Linked DNA regions of Macaca mulatta. The protein of the gene in region 2 purifies or fractionates together with the protein of the main gene of each other region. This does not show direct contact. Links are inferred from orthologs where the notes say so. Each region holds a gene or a part of one and is shown on either strand. Other genes may lie near its edges. The genes, in order: PPIL2, ZNF830 and PPIE.

Region 1 (6,465 bases), on a different chromosome or scaffold from region 2:
GTTTCATCATGTTGGCCAGGATGGTCCTGATCTCCGTCTCAAAAAATAATAATAAATCTTCAATTTCACCAATAACAACAGATGCAAAATACTCCATCAAATGGGTGGAACATCATTTACTCAACTGTTTTTTCTTTTTTTTTTTTCTGAGATGGAGTCTCACTCTGTCGCCCAGGCTGGAGTGTACTGACGCATCTCCGTTCACTGCAAGCTCCGCTTCTCAGGTTCATGCCTTTCTCCTGCCTCAGCCTCCTGAGTAGTTGGAACTACAGGCGCCCGCCACCACGCCCGGATAATTTTTTGTATTTCTAGTAGAGAGAGGGTTTCACCCTGTTAGCCAGGATGGTCTCCATCTCCTGACCTCGTGATCCACCCGCCTCGGCCTCCCAAAACTCTGGGATTACAGGCGTGAGCGACCGTGCCCGGCCTCAACTGTTCTTGCTTGTTGAAATATTTCTCCAATGGGGTCAATTTTTAGGTTATTGGTGCATTGTATTTTCTGACTGAGTCATCATGGTGCATCACCACAAATGGGTTATTTTTAATTGGTTTGTATTTATTTGTTTGCTCACTTATTTAGAGACAGAGTTTTGCTCTGTTGCCAAGGCTGGAGTGCAGTGGCACGATCTCGGTTCACTGCAACCTCCGCCTCCCGGGTTCAAGCGATTACCATGCCTCAGCCTCCTAAGGAGCTGGGATCACAGGCACATGCCACCATGCCCAGCTAATTTTTGTATTTTTAGTAGAGATGGGGTTTCACCATGTTGGCCAGACTGGTCTTGAACTTCTGTCCTCAGGTGATCCACCTGCCTCAGCCTCCCAAAGTGCTGGAATTACAGGCATGAGCCACTGCATCCGGCCTTAATTGGTTTTTAAACTTCTACAAATGCAGACCATGTTCCATGGAAAAAAGTTCACAATACAGAAGTGAATACAGAAAATACGAGTCCACTGCTGCTATGAGTTTCATGTGTACCCTTCCAAATGTTTTGTCTCTGCACACAAACACACACACATACATTAAAATTTTAACCCAAGTACGAGTCACATTGCACGTTCTTCTCAGCAACTTGCTTTTTTCCATAAATAAAACACTGAGATGTCTTTACTTCTTGGGATATCTACTTCATTCCTTTAAGCAGTTCCAAAATAGTCCACTGCATGGCTGTACCAGGGGTCGTTTAGCTGTGTTCTCATAGACATTTGTTTCCAGTTTTTTTTTTTTCTTTGAGACAGAGTCTTGTTCTGTCACCCCAGGCTGGAGTACAATGGCACAATCTTGGCTCACTGCAACCTCTGCCTCCTGGGTTCAAGTGATTCTCACTGCCTCAACCTCCTGAGTAGCTGGAACTACAGGCACCCGCCACCACACCCGGCTAATTTTTGTATTTTTAGTAGAGACAGGGTTTTGCAATGTTGGCCAGGCTAGTCTTGAACTCCTGACCTCAAGTGATCCGCTTGCCTCAGCCTCTCCAAGTGCCGGGATTACAGGTGTGAGCCACCACGTCCGTCCAGACATGTTAAATTTGAGATCAGCGGCTACCCAAGTGGAGATCAGGAACCTGGAGTACTGGTGACTTAGTATTGGGAGTCATGGGATATAAATGGCGTTTAAAATTAGGAGCCTAGGCAAGATTACCCCGGGCCTGAGTGTAGTTGGGGGCCCAAGGTACTGTTCTGACCCAAGGCAAGAGTCTGGCAGAAGAGAAGGAAGGGATCAGGCAGGGTTTTGGACCTCTAGGCTTGATGGCCACCTGCTGCTGGGCCTCCAAGGGGCCTGGAGGCGGTGCGGACGGAATATGCAGAGAGAATGAGAAGTGAGCGAGTAGAACGAGGGTGGTACATGGCTTTGAAGGAGTCGGCCACGGAGGCGGGAAAGGATGGGGTGGAGGCTCATGAGACTTGAAGCTCTAGGAGGACATTGAAAAAGACCTGAGCGCTGGCCGGGCGCGGAGGCTCAGGCCTGTAATCCCAGCACTTTGGGAGGCCAAGGCGGGAGGACTGCTTGAGCTCAAGAGCTCCAGACCAGCCTGGGCAAAATAGTAAGAGCTTGTCTCTACAAAAAATTAACATATTAGCCGGGTGTGGTGGCGCGTGCCCGTAGCTACTCGGGAGGCTGAGGTGGGAGAATCGCTTGAGCCTGGGAGGTCGAGGCTGTAGTGAGCTGTGATTGCGCCACTGCACTCCAACCTGGGCGACAGAGCGAGATCCTGTCTCGAAAATAAAATAAGACCTGAGAACCCAGTATGGGAATGGCCCTGAGCCGTGGCTGAGGGGGGCAGGCGAGGCGGTCGGGAGAGACCCTTCGAGAAGATGGGGCTTCGAGGCTGAGGGAGCTCTGCCCCGAGAAGGCGCCAGCGAGACACAACACACCTAGCTAGGACCCCATACTGGGCAGGCGATCCTTCCGAGCATGCGCACCTGGCGCTAGCGAACCACAATTCCCAGCACGCCAAGCGCCTGTTTCCGGGGCGAGCCGCGGAACCCGGAAGTGGTCACGAAACTCGGCCGTGGCTCCATGGTCTGAGTGGTCAGCGGTTGCTTTTTCGTGCTAGGTAGTTGCCGCCGCCGCCGCGCCGCCATGGGGAAGCGACAGCACCAGAAGGACAAGATGTAAGTTGAGTCGCAGTCGGGAGTGGCGCTCCGCTCTGCCTCAGTAAACCGCCTGTCCCGCCCTGCTCGCCGCTCGCCTTCCCTCTCAGCTGGTCCCCAGAGCCCAGCCCAAAAGTCACTTCCTCCCGGAAGCTGCCACCGTCTCTCCAGTCAGGGTAATGACCCTCGGGCCGCCGCGCTCTCCCAGGGGGCCGCGGCTCCGAAGACGTCAGCTGCGGGCTCGAGCGCAGCCCGGTCTTTCTTTACTCTAGTTCTGCCCGGACCGTGCCCCGTCTGCTCGCGAGCTTTGCCCCTGTAGTCTCTCCCTCTTCCGTACTTCGCGTCTGGCTGTGTTCTGGTTCATGCCTATCAGCCTGCACACGTGCTGCAGAGCCTTCCTATTTAAAGCAAACCAGGCCGGGCGCGGTGGCTCACCTGTAATCCCAGCACTTTGGGAGGCTGAGGCGGGCGGATCACCTGAGGTCAGGAGTTCAAGACCAGCCTGGCCACCATGATGAAACCCCGTCTCTACCCAAAACACAAAAATTAGCGGGGCGTGGTGGCGGGCGCCTGTAATCCTAGCTACTCGGGAGGCTGAGGCAGGAGAATCGCTTGAACCCGGGAGGCGGAGATTGCCGTGAGCCGAGATCGTGTCACTGCACTCCAGCCTGGGCGACAGAGCCAGACTCTGTCTCAAAAATAATAAATAAAATAAAACAAAAAAATCCGCCTATGCCCCGTGCCCCGCGTTCCCCTCCTGCTGCCGCCGTGATTTCAGAACAAGTTAGAGACCCGTGGCTTCATGCTGTTTTCTGAGTCTCTTGAAACCACTCAAGTCAGAATTTCGATCCCAGAACTGCCCCTTGTCAGGTTGCCAGCGACTTCTTGTTGCTAACTCTAGTATTCAATCCTCAGTCCTCGTGTTTTTTTTGAGACGGAGTTTCGCTCTTGTTGCCCATGCTGGGGAGTGCAGTGGTGCGATCTCGGCTTTCCGCAACCCCCGCTTCCCAGGTTCAAGCGATTCTCCTGCTTCAGCCTCCCGAATAGCTGGGATTACAGGCATGTGCCCCCAGGCCCGGCTAATTTTGTATTTTTAGTAGAGAAGGGGGTTTCTCCATGTTGGTCAGGCTGGTCTCGAACTCCGATCTCAGGTGATCCGCCCGCCTTGGCCTCCCAAAGTACTGGGATTATAGGCGAGCCACCGCGCCAGGCAGCCTCAGTCCTCATTTTGTTGGGGTTCTCAACAGTATGTCACACTGTTAACCACTCCCTCCTTCTGAAGCCCTCCTTTGGTATCTGAGATTTCCTGTGCTCTTTGTTTTCCATCGACTTCAGCGGCCTCTCTTTTCCCAGCCTCCTTTCTGGACCCTCCTCCCTTTTCTCAGATCTCATAGGTTTCTTTTCCATAAACATTCTCTGTGAGTGATATAATTTCCCAGTCATCTATAAGCTGCTTTCCCCAGTCTTGTGTAGTTAGTGGCTTACTTGATATCTCCACTGGAGGACTGATAAACATCTCAATTTTTTTTTTTTTTTTTTTTTTTTTTTTTTTTTTGAGACGGGAGTCTCAGGCTGTTGCCCAGGCTGGAGTGCAGTGGCGCGATCTCGGCTCACTGCAAGCTCCGCCTCCTGGGTTCACGCCATTCTCCTGCCTCAGCCTCCTGAGTAGCTGGGACTACAGGCGCCCGCCACCGCGCCCGGCTAATTTTTTGTATTTTTAGTAGAGACGGGGTTTCACTGTGGTCTCGATCTCCTGACCTCGTGATCCGCCCGTCTCGGCCTCCCAAAGTGCTGGGATTACAGGCTTGAGCCACCGCGCCCGGCCTCAATTTTTTTTTTTTTTGAGATGGAGTCTTGCTGTGTTGCCCAGGCTGGAGTGCAATGGTGCGATCTTGGCTCACTGCAACCTCTACTTCCCAGATTCAAGCGATTCTCCCACCTCCGCCTCCCCAGTAGCTGAGATTACAGGCGCCTGCCACCATGCCCGGCTAATTTTTGTATTTTTAGTAGAGACAGGTTTCACCATGTTGGCCAGGCTGGTATCAAACTCCTGACCTCGGGTGATCCACACGCCTCTGCCTCCCAAAGTGCTGGGATTACAGGCATGAGCCACCGTGCCCTCAAATTTAATATGCCTTAAACAGAACTCTTGATTTTCAGCTCCTGAGCCTGCTCCTCCCTGTAAGCTAAAAATAAAATCCTAAATCCCCTTACTGGCTGAGCAGACACCCTTGTGCCTAAGAGAACTCCAGGAAAACCTTAAAACTGAGTTCCTGGCCATGATGCGATGGAGGTCAGCTGTACCTTGTTATATCTTCCTCCCTTTTGTGGCCCAGACACAACAACTGACTGGCATTAACGTTGAAATAGAGATCATAAAGGGGCCCGGCGCGGTGGCTCGCACCTGTAATCCCAGCACTTTGGGAGGCTGAGGTGGTGGATCATGAGGTCAGGAGATCGAGACCATCCTGGTTAACATGGTGAAACCCCGTCTCTACTAAAAATACAAAAAAAAAAAAAATTAGCCGAGCGTGGTGGCTAATTTTTAATAAAAATAAAGAAATAGAAATAAGATTGATGAAACAGACTCTTTGTGGCAATAAGATACCAAATTATAAATAGAACCTATAGTCATGCCAGACAACTTCCCTGGTTAAGTTACCCACCCCTACGCCTAAAGAATAAACTATATCCTTTTTTTTTTTTTTTTTTTTTTTTTTTTTTTTTTTTTTTTGAGACAAGTCTTACTCTGTCGCCCAGGCTGGAGTATAGTGGTGCGATCTCGGTTCACTGCAACGTCTGCCTCCCAGGTTCAAGCAATTCTCTGCCTCAGCCTCCTGAGTAGCTGGGATTACAAGCACCCACCATCACGCCCAGCGAATTTTTTTTTTTTTTTTTTTTTTTTTTTTTTTGAGACGGAGTCTCACTCTGCTGCCCAGGCTAGAGTGCAGTGCAGTGGCCGGATCTCAGCTCACTGCAAGCTCCGCCTCCCGGGTTTACGCCATTCTCCTGCCTCAGCCTCCCGAGTAGCTGGGACTACAGGCGCCCGCCATGTCGCCCGGCTAGTTTTTCGTATTTTTTTAGTAGAAACGGGGTTTCACCGTGTTAGCCAGGATGGTCTCGATCTCCCGACCTCGTGATCTGCCCGTCTTGGCCTCCCAAAGTGCTAGGATTACAGGCTTGAGCCACCGCGCCCGGCCGCCCAGCGAATTTTTGTAATTTTAGTAGAGACGCGGTTTCACCTTGTTGGCCAGGCTTGTCCCAAACTCCTGACCTCTAGTGATTCACCCACCTCGGGCTCCCAAAGTGTTGGGATTACAGGCATTAACCACCATGCCCGTCCCATGCTTATAGGTGTTTAATAAGCATATGCGGAATAAGCAAAGATTACTCACTTCCAAAGACTTTGTTCTCTGTATAAAGGTGGTGGTCATAGCATTATCTTCCTCTCTTCTTCAGGTACATTACTTGTGCTGAATATACTCACTTTTATGGTGGCAAGAAGCCAGGTAAGGCTTGCGGTCTTTCTGTTCCCCGTTGGGGGAGTGGTATTAAGGAACAGTGTCTTCAGGATACAGTGAGCTGTAAAAATAGACAACAAGAACACGGAAACTGTGGTAGACAAATGGGCCGAGGACAGTTCACGAAAGAGAAATATATTCAAGAAAGAAGAACATGCTTCTTCTTAGTGGTGGTTTTTGTAAAATGTAGATTAAAATATTCCCCAATGCTGGGAGCTAAGTAAAAAATAAGTAAATAAAATACAAAATTACATCTACATTTAAATGTTTTTTCTCTATTAAGTTTATAAGGAGTCCGGGCGCGGTGGCTTAAGCCTGTAATCCCAGCACTTTGGGAGGCCGAGATGGGCGG
Region 2 (5,805 bases):
TAGTGATGAATGAAGGGAAAATTCTGAGTAACAGTGGGTTCACACATTTGAGGCAAGCAAGCCATGTCTCATCAAATGGAAGCTGCTATCACTGATCAGCTAGCAGCTCAAGGAAGAAGACTGCCAAAGGCAGCAGGACAATTATTAATAATAATTTGTGGTACACAGCAACTGTTCAATAAGTGTTAGATAAATCCTTTTAGGCAGTGACACTAAATACAAAATCTTGAATTCTGTACTTATCCCTCCTGTTTTTCTTCTTCCACTTCTAGTCACTAAAATTTAGCTATTCCTTTGAAAATCTTTCACTTCTATTCCTTTTCTCCCAATCCACAGCTAATCAGTCTTGTCACCTCGCTTTTGAAAATATAGTTTTCAAATAGCTCCTAGTTTCCTTCTACCCTGTGTTCATTCCATTCTATATACTGTTAATGTTCCATGATATTTCTTTGCAGATGTCATTCTTCGCTCAAAACCTCCATTTTCATATGAACTTCATAAAAAGTTTTCACTTAGCATTCAAAGCTTTTCAAACCTTATCTCTTGGTACTCCTCTCCATAAAAAAGGAATTTAGGGAAACTAGATTGAGTTAATATATGTAAAGCACTTACAACCATACCTGGCCCATACTAAGAACTATATAGGTCTTAGCTATTATTATTATTGCTCACTTTTATTTGAATATGCTGTATGCATTTCTACTCCAGAACACTGCTAAGTCCCTTTTCCTATTTGAGTACCTCAATCTCTAAAGGAAGGAGTGATTTAAACTATCAATGACCAGCAAGAGCCAACTGTTACTGCTGGAAAGACAACTTAAATATTCTTTCTACAATAGATAGGACCTGCAAACAAGGAACTCTAATTTACCACCAAATAACAAAATTTAAGGCTGGATGAAATAAATAAAAGATAATATTTCCTTCATTCAAGAAACAGCAAATTTATGGAATGTTATTTAAAGAAAAACATAAATGGGTTCTGGATTTAGGGCAGTTACTCTTTAAATCCTGGCATATATTGGAATAACCTGGGAGCTTTAAAAAACACAGTTGCCTGGACCTCATCCCAGATTTATTGAAGGGGAAGGCCTCAGACACTTGAATTTATTTTAATACTTCATAGGTGATTCTCACGTGCAACCACATCTGAGCAGCATTGGTCTAGTCCAGGGAAACTGGTTTAGGGAGGCTGATCGTGTTTGGCATATATTTTTCTGTTTTTAAAATGAAGCATACTAAGAGAACTGATTAACCTATAATGACTTATGTGTTCATGAAGTGTTCTTAAAAAACCAAAGAAACAAGAAAACAAACCTTTTCAACTTGATGTAGGGTTCAGAAGATAAATACATTACAAATACCACAGTGAGCATTCATCTAAAAGTTTGCCGGTTGGTCTATTAATTTAAAAAAATTCAAAACAGAATTACTTAATATAGATTTAACTATGTACAATATTTACAACGAAAGTATACAGTTAAGTCTGTTGTGGAACAGTTGGCATTTTGGTATATAACACTTCAGAAATTTCAAAAACAACTTTACCTCAAAAACATTTTACACAAATTTTCCAAAGTGCTGTAGCTCACTGGCTCATTTTATCTTAACAATCCAGTTTAGCAATCCAGGTACCCAAATCTCTAGGCATGAAGTAACCGATATACTACTGAGAGACAGCACTTTTATACAATAGCAGAGGCTGTTAGAAACCTTGGGTCTTTAAAACCTTATAACAATGCCCCTTTCACTCTCCAATCCTGAGACAACAAATCCTGTAGTTCCCCCTCATCATCGCTGTCAGCATTCTCTTCTTCCTTTTTCTGCAGTTCTTTTATGGTCAGGATTTCTTTAAGTTTATTTTTTATTTCATCCTGGCGATTCCGTAGCTTTTCCACCCGTCGATAACACTCTATCTGCTCATCGATCTCCCCAATCTGGCGGTCCAACCGTCCCTCCTCATCCTCTTCGGCAACTATGGCTTCGGAAATAGTGTTGACCTGCCTCATGGCTTTTTGGAATTCGTCCCACTCTTTGTCCATCTGATCTTTTGGGGCATCAACCTTTCGCACCCTTGCATCTACCTCAGGGTCGTCAAAAAAACCTTCCGGTAACGCTTCCGCGGTGTTTTCTCTCCTTTCCACCACTTTTTCATGTATTTCTGCTTTCTCAATTGACCCTGAATGAGGAATTATGGGGGCCTTGGGAGGATTAGTACTAAAGAAATCGTCTGGCAGCACACTACTTGTTACCTCCCGCGAAGAAGAAACTGAGTGCTCCTTGCCCTGTGCGTCGGACAGCGGCTTGCTGGCGTCCCCCCTTTTTCTTTCTCCATCTCCTTCCTCCTCCTCTTCCTCCTCCTCCTCATCTTCATAATCGGGGAGTAAACTGAGTCCTGAAGGCTTACTGGAAGTCGTTCTAATGAACTCCTTTCCTATTTTGTCAAAGTTGGTGGGCAACGCAGATGTGGAGGGCTGTACCTGAGGCACCAAGGTGGCCTTCGCTCTCTTGGCGTCTTGGCCGTCTGCGTCCGGCGCTTTCCTCTTGACGGTCTGAGGCGCTGAGCTGGCGGACGAACCCTGGCTGGCTTCCTTCGCGCCTTTCAGCTCGGCCACTTTCTCTCGGTGCTGCTTTCCCAGGACGTGAGTCTGCCACAGGAGCTCGCTCTTAACCGGGGTGTTACACAGGGCACAACTCAGCTGCCCCAAACGGTTGTACTTCGCGAATGGAGATTCTATCCGTTTCCGATTGGTGCTCAGACGCTGCTTCTCCTTCATTAACCGCCGCAATTCTTCCTGATTTACCACTCGCTTCCCGGCCGGAGTCCTGGCGGAGGCGGAGGACGCCATCTTGGCGACCAGACCCAAAGCGATTCTGGTTTCCGTCCGGCGAGGCTTGATAATGTCACTTCCTGTAAGGGCGATGATTGGCCGAGGTTCAAGAGAGCGTGGCGTAGCGTTGGCGTTTTTGCTCAGAAGCGCGACTAAGGCTTTTTTTTTTTTTCCTGTGAACGATTAGGCTATGGCTGCGATAAAGGCCGTAAACTCCAAGGCTGAGGTGGCGCGGGCCCAGGCAGCTTTGTCTGTCAATATATGCGCCGCCCGAGGGTTGCAGGATGTGCTGCGGACCAACTTGGGTCCTAAAGGCACCATGAAAATGTGAGACGGCGGTTGGAGCGGCCGTTAGGCGGCCGGGGGCTTGTTGGGTGTCCTGGAGCCCTCTGAGGCAGGCGTCCGTGGAGCGCTGTGGATGTTCTTGCGAGCTTGATTTCCCTCATTCTCATCCCTGTCCTGAGGGTATTTCTCGCCTGGTGCAGGTGGAGGAGAAAAGCCTCCCCTAGAAGGCCCCAGGAGTGAAATTGTGACGCTCCCCCGACACCCTACTTTTCGTCAAGGTTCATATGCAGTTAGAAAGTCAGTTAATTTAGTGTCTTATTGGAAACATAAAGCATTTAACTTCTCTGCTCTTTAAGACTGTATACCTTTAGTCCATAAATTCAACAAGTAGTTAGTTTTGTATTTTGTGTGGCAATGTATTGTAGTGGAGAGGGCACAGGCTTTGGAGCCAGGAGGGCATGAGGTCAAATCCAATTTCTACTTAATACCCTGTGTCTGTGGTTCTTCATATCTATTCATCTTTTCAGTATATATTAAGCACCGTTTTCTCTAGACAAGAGTGAGGAAAAGAGACCAGTGAGGAAAAAAGGGTATAAGAGGAGAGACACATCCTCATAGTAATGAACAAAATAAATTAATATTAATGGTAAAATAAGTCACTTAGGTACTAGTTGCTGGGACACAGAAATGATCAAGATACAGTTTCTGTTCTTAAGGAGATGTGGTAGAGACGGATGTGGTAGAGTAGGATGTGCTAATTATATATAGATGCATATGATTATGCTGAGGAAAGGGAATAATTACTGATGGCAGAAGGACAAGCATCTTAAATGATGTTTGATCAGAGTCTTGGGTTGGAAGAGGGAGTAAAGGCCTTCTGGGCAGAGTAATTTCAGGAATAAGAAAGACCAATGGTGCAAATCCAATAGAAAAAACAAAACATGGTGTATTAAGGGAACCAGAAGATTTGCTTGTGGGAAAGTAGATGAGTCAGGGAAGAGAGACATAAACCAGATTGAGAAAGGTCAAGTGTCTGCTGTGTTTGGATTTTAACTTGAAAATGATGAAAAACATAAAAATCATTGGAGGACTTTTGATCAGGGAACTGACTGAATCACGTTGCCTTTTAGAAAGAAAAATGTGTGGAGGGTGTATTTTAGTTTGGAGATAACTGGATGCTATCCAAGGTAGAGATGATAACAGTGGAGATGGAGAGAAGGGGGCAGATTCAAGAGATATTTAGGTAGTAGAATTGATAGAACTTGGTGATCTAATAAATGCAGGGATGAGGGAAACTAGAGTGACTGACTGAATGAAAACGTTCACCAAAATAAAAACCTGCAGGAAATTTGCAGATTTGTGCTTTGTAGACTTTCAAGTATTCTTTGACCAAACCACTTTTCATAACTCATCAACTGCTTTTATCTTTAAATCTGTAAATGGTCCATTTGGAATGAAATCGCCATAAGCTGTCCATCTGGGGAGAAATGATTCTGTGAGCTGCAAATGGTGGTAATTACCATGGCATATTCCCATGGTACAGTAGTTTTCCAAGCCCAGTTCCCTCTGTTGAGGATAATGGGATGGCAAGCACTGGGAGTGTCTTCCTACCACATGAAGTTAATATCGTTGTTCTCTGAACAGGCTTGTTTCTGGTGCAGGTGACATCAAACTCACCAAAGATGGCAATGTGCTGCTCCAAGAGATGGTGAGCTGATGCTGCTGACTTTAATAAACCTTAATAAGCCTTAATTAGGAGCATAGTAGAACTTGTGTATCTGTAAGCCAAGGCTGTCAGCTAAATACTGCAGTCTTGAGTCTTGAGATATGCTTGTTGAATTAGACTTCAATAAAAAAATTTTTTTTGGCCGGGTGTGGTAACTCACTCCTGTAATCCCAACACTTTGGGAGGCTGAGGTGGCCAAATTGCTTGAGCCCAGGAGTTCAAGACCAGGCTTGGTGAAACCCGTCTCTACAAAAAAAAAAAAAAAAGAAATTTGCTCAGTGTTGTAGCATGTGCCTGTAGTCCCAGCTACTCAGGAGGCTGAGGTAAGAGGATCACTTGAGCCCAGGAGGCCAAGGCTGCAGTGAACTTGAGATCGTGCCACTGCACTCCAGCCTGGGTGACAGAGTGAAACACTGTCTCAAAAAAAAAAAAAAAAGAGTTTTTTTTTCTGGCTCTTTCCAAGTCTTTGTATACTTATACATATGTTGTATACTTAGACATACTTATAAATTAATAATATCTTTTGGGGTACTGCCTTATGTTCTTTGTAATTATGGAAAAATAAAAATATCCTTTGCAAGTTTAATAAATGTATTCATTTTGAGATTGAAGGATTTAATCTTATTTTAGAAATGTCATTGCATTCTGAAGCAAAGACTTATGAAATCTTCAGACCTCATTACCTGTCACTTTTAAAATTTTGGACTTGACATTTAGGTATTGATATTACAAAACTTGTAAACTTGTAGAATGAAGCTTATTTCATTTTTTAATTTTACTGCTGACCCCTAGGTTATCTTGTTTTTGGTGACCTACTTTCTTATCTCATCCTCTCTTTTTAAATCTGTTGCTTGCTTTTTCCAGCAAATTCAACATCCAACAGCTTCCTTGATAGCAAAAGTAGCAACAGCTCAGGATGACGTCACAGGAGATGGTACTACTTCAAATGTTCTAATTATTGGA
Region 3 (5,795 bases), on a different chromosome or scaffold from region 2:
TTTCACATTTGGGATGCTCAGCCTATACTAACTCTGTGCTCCTTGATTCCTTCACTTGGCTGGCAGGACTCCTGCCTCTTCTTGTCTCCTTTTACCTAGATGGCTGCTTTGTCTGTCTTTGCTGTCTCCTTCTTTTCCTGACCCTTAAACACTGAAGTGGCTCAGAGCCCATTCTTTTGTTCTCCAGAAGCCTGTTACCCTGTGCTCCGTTTTTCTAACTGGTGGTTTGTAGAGCCCCTCTTTACTATACTGAACCGATATGTGTAGGTGATATAGCCCACTGACCCACACCATTATTTTAAAACTCAATATATCTGTAACTATAGTAGGGAAGAACATCAGAGGAAATAAATGAATTTGCATAGTAATCGAATGTGTTTCCAGATGTACATGCTTAAGCACAGCTGTGTCAGAACACAAAGTGAATTATTCAGGCGTCTGCACCTGTACTCAAATGCAGAGTTAGAAGTGTAGACGGGAGTGTCAACTGATAACTTGGATACCACTAGCAATGATGCTATTGGTGATACGACTTTGTGAAATGGTAAATAAAGTTGATTAGATTCCAAAGTAAAGAATAATCTGTTTATTTACATAGTAGTTACATTCCTAGAAGATTCCATGCAAAACCAAAAGAACTCCAAAACTTTGGGCTTATATGTATAATGCAATTATGTTTTAGGTGCAGATAACTGTAAACACATTTTTTCCCTATACCGATATCTAATGGGCTATTCGTTGTTTTGTTGTTGTTTGGTTTTTGTTTTTTTGAGATAGGGTCTCTGTTGCTCAGGCTGGAGTGCAGTGGTGCAAGACAGCTCACTGTAGCCTCAACCTCTCCAGCTAAAGCAGTCCTCCTGCCTAAGCCTCCCAAACAGCTGGGATTACAGGTGCACGCCATCCATAATGCCCGGCTAATTTTTAAGTTTTTTTGTAGAGATGAGGTTTCATTGTATTGCTCAGGCTAGTCTGGAACTCTTAGCTTCAAGTGATCCTCCCACTTCAGCCTCCCAAAGTGCTGGGATTACAGGCATTAGCCACTGCACCCAATCTCTAGCAGGATGTTTGAAAGACCAAGAGGATATGAGACAATTCATTGTGCCAGACATTGCAGAACATCTAGCATTCCAGGCCCCCACCTGCTAAATGGCAGTAGCCCCCCGCACAGTGTTTCACACAGTCAAAAACACTTTCAAGCCAGGCATGGTGGCTCATGTCTGTAATCCCAACACTTTGGGAGTCTGAAGTGGCAGCCCAAAGCCAGACGATCACGTGAGTTCAGGAGTTTGAGACCAGCCTGGGCAACATAGTGAGACCCCTGTCTCTACCAAAAAAAGAATTAAAAAATTATCCAGGTGTGGTGGTACATGCCTGTAGTCTCAGCTGCTTGGGAGCTGAGGTGAGAGGATTGCTTGCGCCCCAGAGATTGAGGATGCAGTGAGCTGCGATCATACCACTGCACTCCAGCCTGGGTGACAGAGTGATCCCCATCTCAAAAAAAATAAATTCAGATTTCCAAAGGTTTCCTAGGGACAGGACACCAACCCCACTGAGAAGCAGTGCCCTAGGCAGTCACACCCGGTCCCAGAGCTTTCAGCAGTATCTCTGAGTTAAGCTTGTGCACATTGGCGTCTGCATGCTGATGGCTCCCTGAGCTCCAGACTCCTGTCCAGCTGTCTTTACTGGATATCCTGGGAGCATCTCACACTTCACACGTCTAAAACAGCTCTTGGCCTTCTCCCCGAAACTCTTCCTCTTCCCCCTCTTCTCTGTTTCAATAAATGACTCCACCGCTTGATCAGAAACTTAGGAGTCATTGTGGACACATACACACACACATACATACATGTACACAGACACACACATATATATGTACATTCTCTTATGTGACAAATGTCCATGTTACCAGGCCTCACTGTGTCATAGCTGTCATTTTGAATGGCTCTTTTCCACTGACTGTGAGCTCCACCAGAGCTTGGACTATGTTCAGCTCATCAGTGTTCCCAGGGCTTAACAGGGACCTGGTTGCCAAGTAGACACTTAATTGTTAAATAAATGAATTACTGAACGAACAGACCAGTGTAAAGTGATTGAAACACCTCATTCACCATTTCACTGACTATTAACTGAATCAAAGACAAGGTGGCCACATTTGCATGTTGTCTATGCATCCCGGAGTCTGAGCCTGCCTGACTGAAGGGCTGTCGACAGCCTGCACAGACGTCCATTAAGGGCTGGTAGCCAGGGTTGGGGGAGCTGATGGTTGTTCTGTCCCCCAGGTCTACTCTCCATGGCCAACTCTGGCCCAAACACCAATGGCTCCCAGTTCTTCCTGACATGTGACAAAACAGACTGGCTGGATGGCAAGCACGTGGTGTTTGGAGAGGTCACCGAAGGCCTAGATGTCTTGCAGCAAATTGAGGTATGTGGCCAGGAATGGGCCTCCTCCTCACCCAGGCCCTTGGAGCACAGCCCTGTGGGAGGGCTGGAAAGGCTCTGTGGCCTCAGAGAGATGGCCAGGGGCTGTGTCCAGCGGGAGGGGCTGCTGCTGCCCAGGTTCTGGGGTGGAAGTGGGCATATGGGCAGGCAGGGGTTGGCATCCCGAAACTACTGTTAGTTTCCCGCCTTACTCCCTCACTTCTGTTCTGCCCACAAAGGCCCAGGGCAGCAAGGACGGGAAGCCAAAGCAGAAGGTGATCATCGCCGACTGTGGGGAGTACGTGTGAGGCGGCACTCTCTGCTTCCCCCTCCGCTCTTGCCCCTGCACATCCAGGAAGGAGCTGCCAGCCTCAGAGGAGGCAGCACCGAGGGTGCCTGTTTGAAGCAAGCAGCATTTGGTGTATGAGCCCTTCCTCAGGGTCCGCTTGGAGTAGCTCCTCTGCAGGCACAGCCTGGACTATTCCCAAGCGCGGCTGTGGGCCCAGGAGCCAGCGCAGGTGCTCCCCTCCACCATGGGCAGGCTGTGTAAAAAGCCACTGGCTTTTCTCAGCATTTGCTGCTGGGCCTGTCCTGGGACTACCAGTGTGGCTCTTAGGTGTTTTCTTTGCTAAAATAAACCCTTGTTCTTATGCTGCTGCCTCCTGCTAGTTCTTGGGAGTTGCCAGAGATAGTGTCTGTGGCTAAGCTGGACCTCTGAGGCAGGCTGGTGAGTGGGGAGAGCAGAGTATCTTTCCACAGCTTTCATTTCCTCCCTTGGGCTGATCCCCTTAGATGTCAGGTGATGTATCTTCACACCAGGCATCCGTGTCAGGGCAACGGAAATTAAAGACTATGGAAGGTTTGGTCTTCTGCTACCTCTGCTCCCAAACCCAGGTGCCAGTCTTACAGCCAGCAAGTATACTCTCAGTGGTTCGTTTGTTTGTTCACTTTCGCCCTACAGATTTTAAAAAATGAAATTTTTATAACTCAGAGTGCCTTCTCTGTGCCAAGTACTATGCCTGTTTGTCAGGAAACATAAGGCCAACAAACTACATGTGCCTAATCCAGCCCACTGCCTGTTTTTATGAATCAGGTTTTATTGGAACACAGCCACATCCATTTGTTTACATATTGTCCATGGTGGTTTCTCACTGCAGTGTCAAAATTGAGTAGTAGACACAATGCAGGCTATGGTCCCTGTATTAGGGTTTTCTAGAGAAGCAGAACCAATAGGATGTGTATATATGTAGAGAGAGAGATTTATTTTAAGGAACTGGCTCAGGCAGTTGTGGGAGCTGGCAGATCTGGAATCTGCACAACAGGCCAGCAGGCTGGAGACTCAGGAAAAAAACTGATGTTGCAGTGCAAGTCTGAGGCACTTTGGAAGCAGAATTCTTCCTCTAGTGATCTCAGTCTTTTTTCTCTTAAGAATTTCAACTGATTGGATGAAGCCTACTCACATTATGGAGGGTAATCTGCTTTACTTTCTACTGACTTAAATATGAATCCATCTAAAAAATAGGCCAGGCAACTATTGGGAGGCTGAGGCAGGAGGATCACTTGAGCCCAGGAATTCAAGACCAGCCTGGGCAATGTAGTGAGACCCCCATCTCTAGGGGGGGAAAAAAAAAAGCCAGGTATGGTGGTGTACGCCTGTAGTCCCAGCTACTCAGAAGGCTGAGGTGAGAGGATCACTTGAACCTGGGAGGTTGAGCCACGGTCATGCCACTGTACTCCAGCCTGGGTGACAGAGTGAGACCCTGTCTCGAAAAAAAGAAACCATCATCACAGCAACATCTAGACTAGTGTTTGACTAAAAACTGGATACCATGGCCTAGTCAAATTGACACACAAAATAGACCATCACAGTCCCAAGGCCTAAAATACTATCTGAGCCTTTACAAAACAGGATTGCTGGCCACTGAAGAGAACAAATGGTCCCACCCCCGGCTGGGCTCACAGTCTGGCTCTCCTGTGTGCAGCCACTTCTTGGAGCTGGCTTCTCTCCATTCCCCTCCAGGTGCTGGTCAGCCAGGCGCTTGTAAAGAATCTCATCTGCTGAAGGCTCTTAGCAGGGACTGAGCCCTGTAGCTGCTGGACACCTCCTGTGGGTTGGGTCGCTCAGACCATTCAGAATCCACTGAGCTGAGCTTTTGCATCTTGGATTGAGATCTGAATGAGCCGCGAGGCAGGAGAGGCCCCCTGGTCCTCATGAGCCTAGGATAGCTCCTGCTGAGGGATGTTGGCATTCTGGCCCTGCCTGTGGCTCCCATGTGCCGACTGGACTTTCTGAGCTCCAACTGCTACAGTTGGCTGAGTTTCGGGCTCCAGGTAGCTGGGATGTACCACGTGGTTACCCCTCACCCCTGTGGAGCTTCCAAAAGAGACTGTCCCTCAAAGCACAGCTCCTTCTCAGTGCAAATTATGGCCATCAGAGGTCAGTCACAGGTGTTAGGCAGGCATCTATGAAGCTGGGGATGATAGCACTGACTTCAGTGCTTGGATGAGAACCAAGAGAGAGTGTGTAGAAAAAGCACAGCCAGCCTCCCATAAAAGGACAGACTCCTGTGACAATTTTGTCACTCTGTTCCTCCCTGATATTCTGGGGAGGTGGAGGCCAGTGGGCAGTTCTGAAAGCTCAGCAGGTTTGGAGCCACTGGGTGTGGACTTCTCTCTCAGTGCTCCACCTGGGTGTCCACAGATGTTATTCAATGCACACTGGAACCCTGCACAGGTAAACTGAGGCTTTAGTGGTATGACTGCCAAAGGTCACACAGGATGGTTTGGCAGAGCTGGGATTAGAAGCCCAGCCTGTCTCTCTTCAGTAGTAACGGAGTCCTGGGTGGCTTACTAGGCTTTAGCCTCAATCTGTGGCAGGCAGAGTCCACAGCCCTGGGGAGTGACACCGTCAAGGTTCCCATGATTGGCCAGGACCTTTGTGGAGAGACACAGGAGACAAGACCCTGTTCTTCCAGGCCGGGAGGGGAGCCCCAGAGCTGGGCAGCGGAATGCCCCACAGCCTGGCCACCTGCTTCGGATACGCACCATGCAGCAGCTGCCCCTGGCTGCCTTGAGAAAACTGACCTCTCTGGGAAGTGGACCCAGTGGCTCTGTGGGTGCCCTTTCCTGTAGCCTGGAGAGCAAAGCGGCTTTCCCTGGCACTATGTGGCTCCTGTCCCAACTGGCCTTCCAATCCACGTTCCCTTTGCTGGACCAGCACCAGGACTGGGCACAGGGCTTCCTTTTGCTGATTCATTTACCCACTAACTCATTCAGAGTTGAGCCCCATCTGAGTCCCCACATGCTGGCCCTGAAACAGTTGCAAAAGCCGAAACCAGGGATGGCAGGCCCAGGATGAGTGCTGTGGCTGTTGGAGT

Evidence for each region.
Region 1: the proteins of ZNF830 (region 2) and PPIL2 purify together in Homo sapiens (co-immunoprecipitation; 4 studies listed by BioGRID and IntAct, counting the BioPlex papers as one, with this or other methods). This does not show direct contact. The link is inferred for Macaca mulatta from reciprocal best matches to the Homo sapiens genes ZNF830 and PPIL2.
Region 3: the proteins of ZNF830 (region 2) and PPIE purify together in Homo sapiens (affinity purification with mass spectrometry; 3 studies listed by BioGRID and IntAct, counting the BioPlex papers as one, with this or other methods). This does not show direct contact. The link is inferred for Macaca mulatta from reciprocal best matches to the Homo sapiens genes ZNF830 and PPIE.

The regions. Positions count from the first base shown.
Region 1 is NC_133415.1:31,326,136-31,332,600, reverse strand, and holds the start of PPIL2 (RING-type E3 ubiquitin-protein ligase PPIL2), read left to right. Parts: upstream 1-2,490; 5' UTR 2,491-2,581; coding exon 2,582-2,613; exon of another isoform or gene 2,614-2,656; intron 2,657-6,051; coding exon 6,052-6,101; intron 6,102-6,465. UniProt on the Homo sapiens protein: Has a ubiquitin-protein ligase activity acting as an E3 ubiquitin protein ligase or as an ubiquitin-ubiquitin ligase promoting elongation of ubiquitin chains on substrates.
Region 2 is NC_133421.1:44,479,787-44,485,591, reverse strand, and holds ZNF830 (zinc finger protein 830), read right to left. Parts: upstream 2,877-5,805; 5' UTR 2,850-2,876; coding exon 1,731-2,849; 3' UTR 1,316-1,730; downstream 1-1,315. Other genes in the region: CCT6B (T-complex protein 1 subunit zeta-2), read left to right, coding at 3,022-3,158, 4,761-4,824, 5,707-5,805.
Region 3 is NC_133406.1:201,027,205-201,032,999, reverse strand, and holds part of PPIE (peptidyl-prolyl cis-trans isomerase E), read left to right. Parts: intron 1-2,279; coding exon 2,280-2,422; intron 2,423-2,657; coding exon of another isoform or gene 2,658-2,726; exon of another isoform or gene 2,727-3,068; intron 3,069-5,795. UniProt on the Homo sapiens protein: Involved in pre-mRNA splicing as component of the spliceosome. Combines RNA-binding and PPIase activities.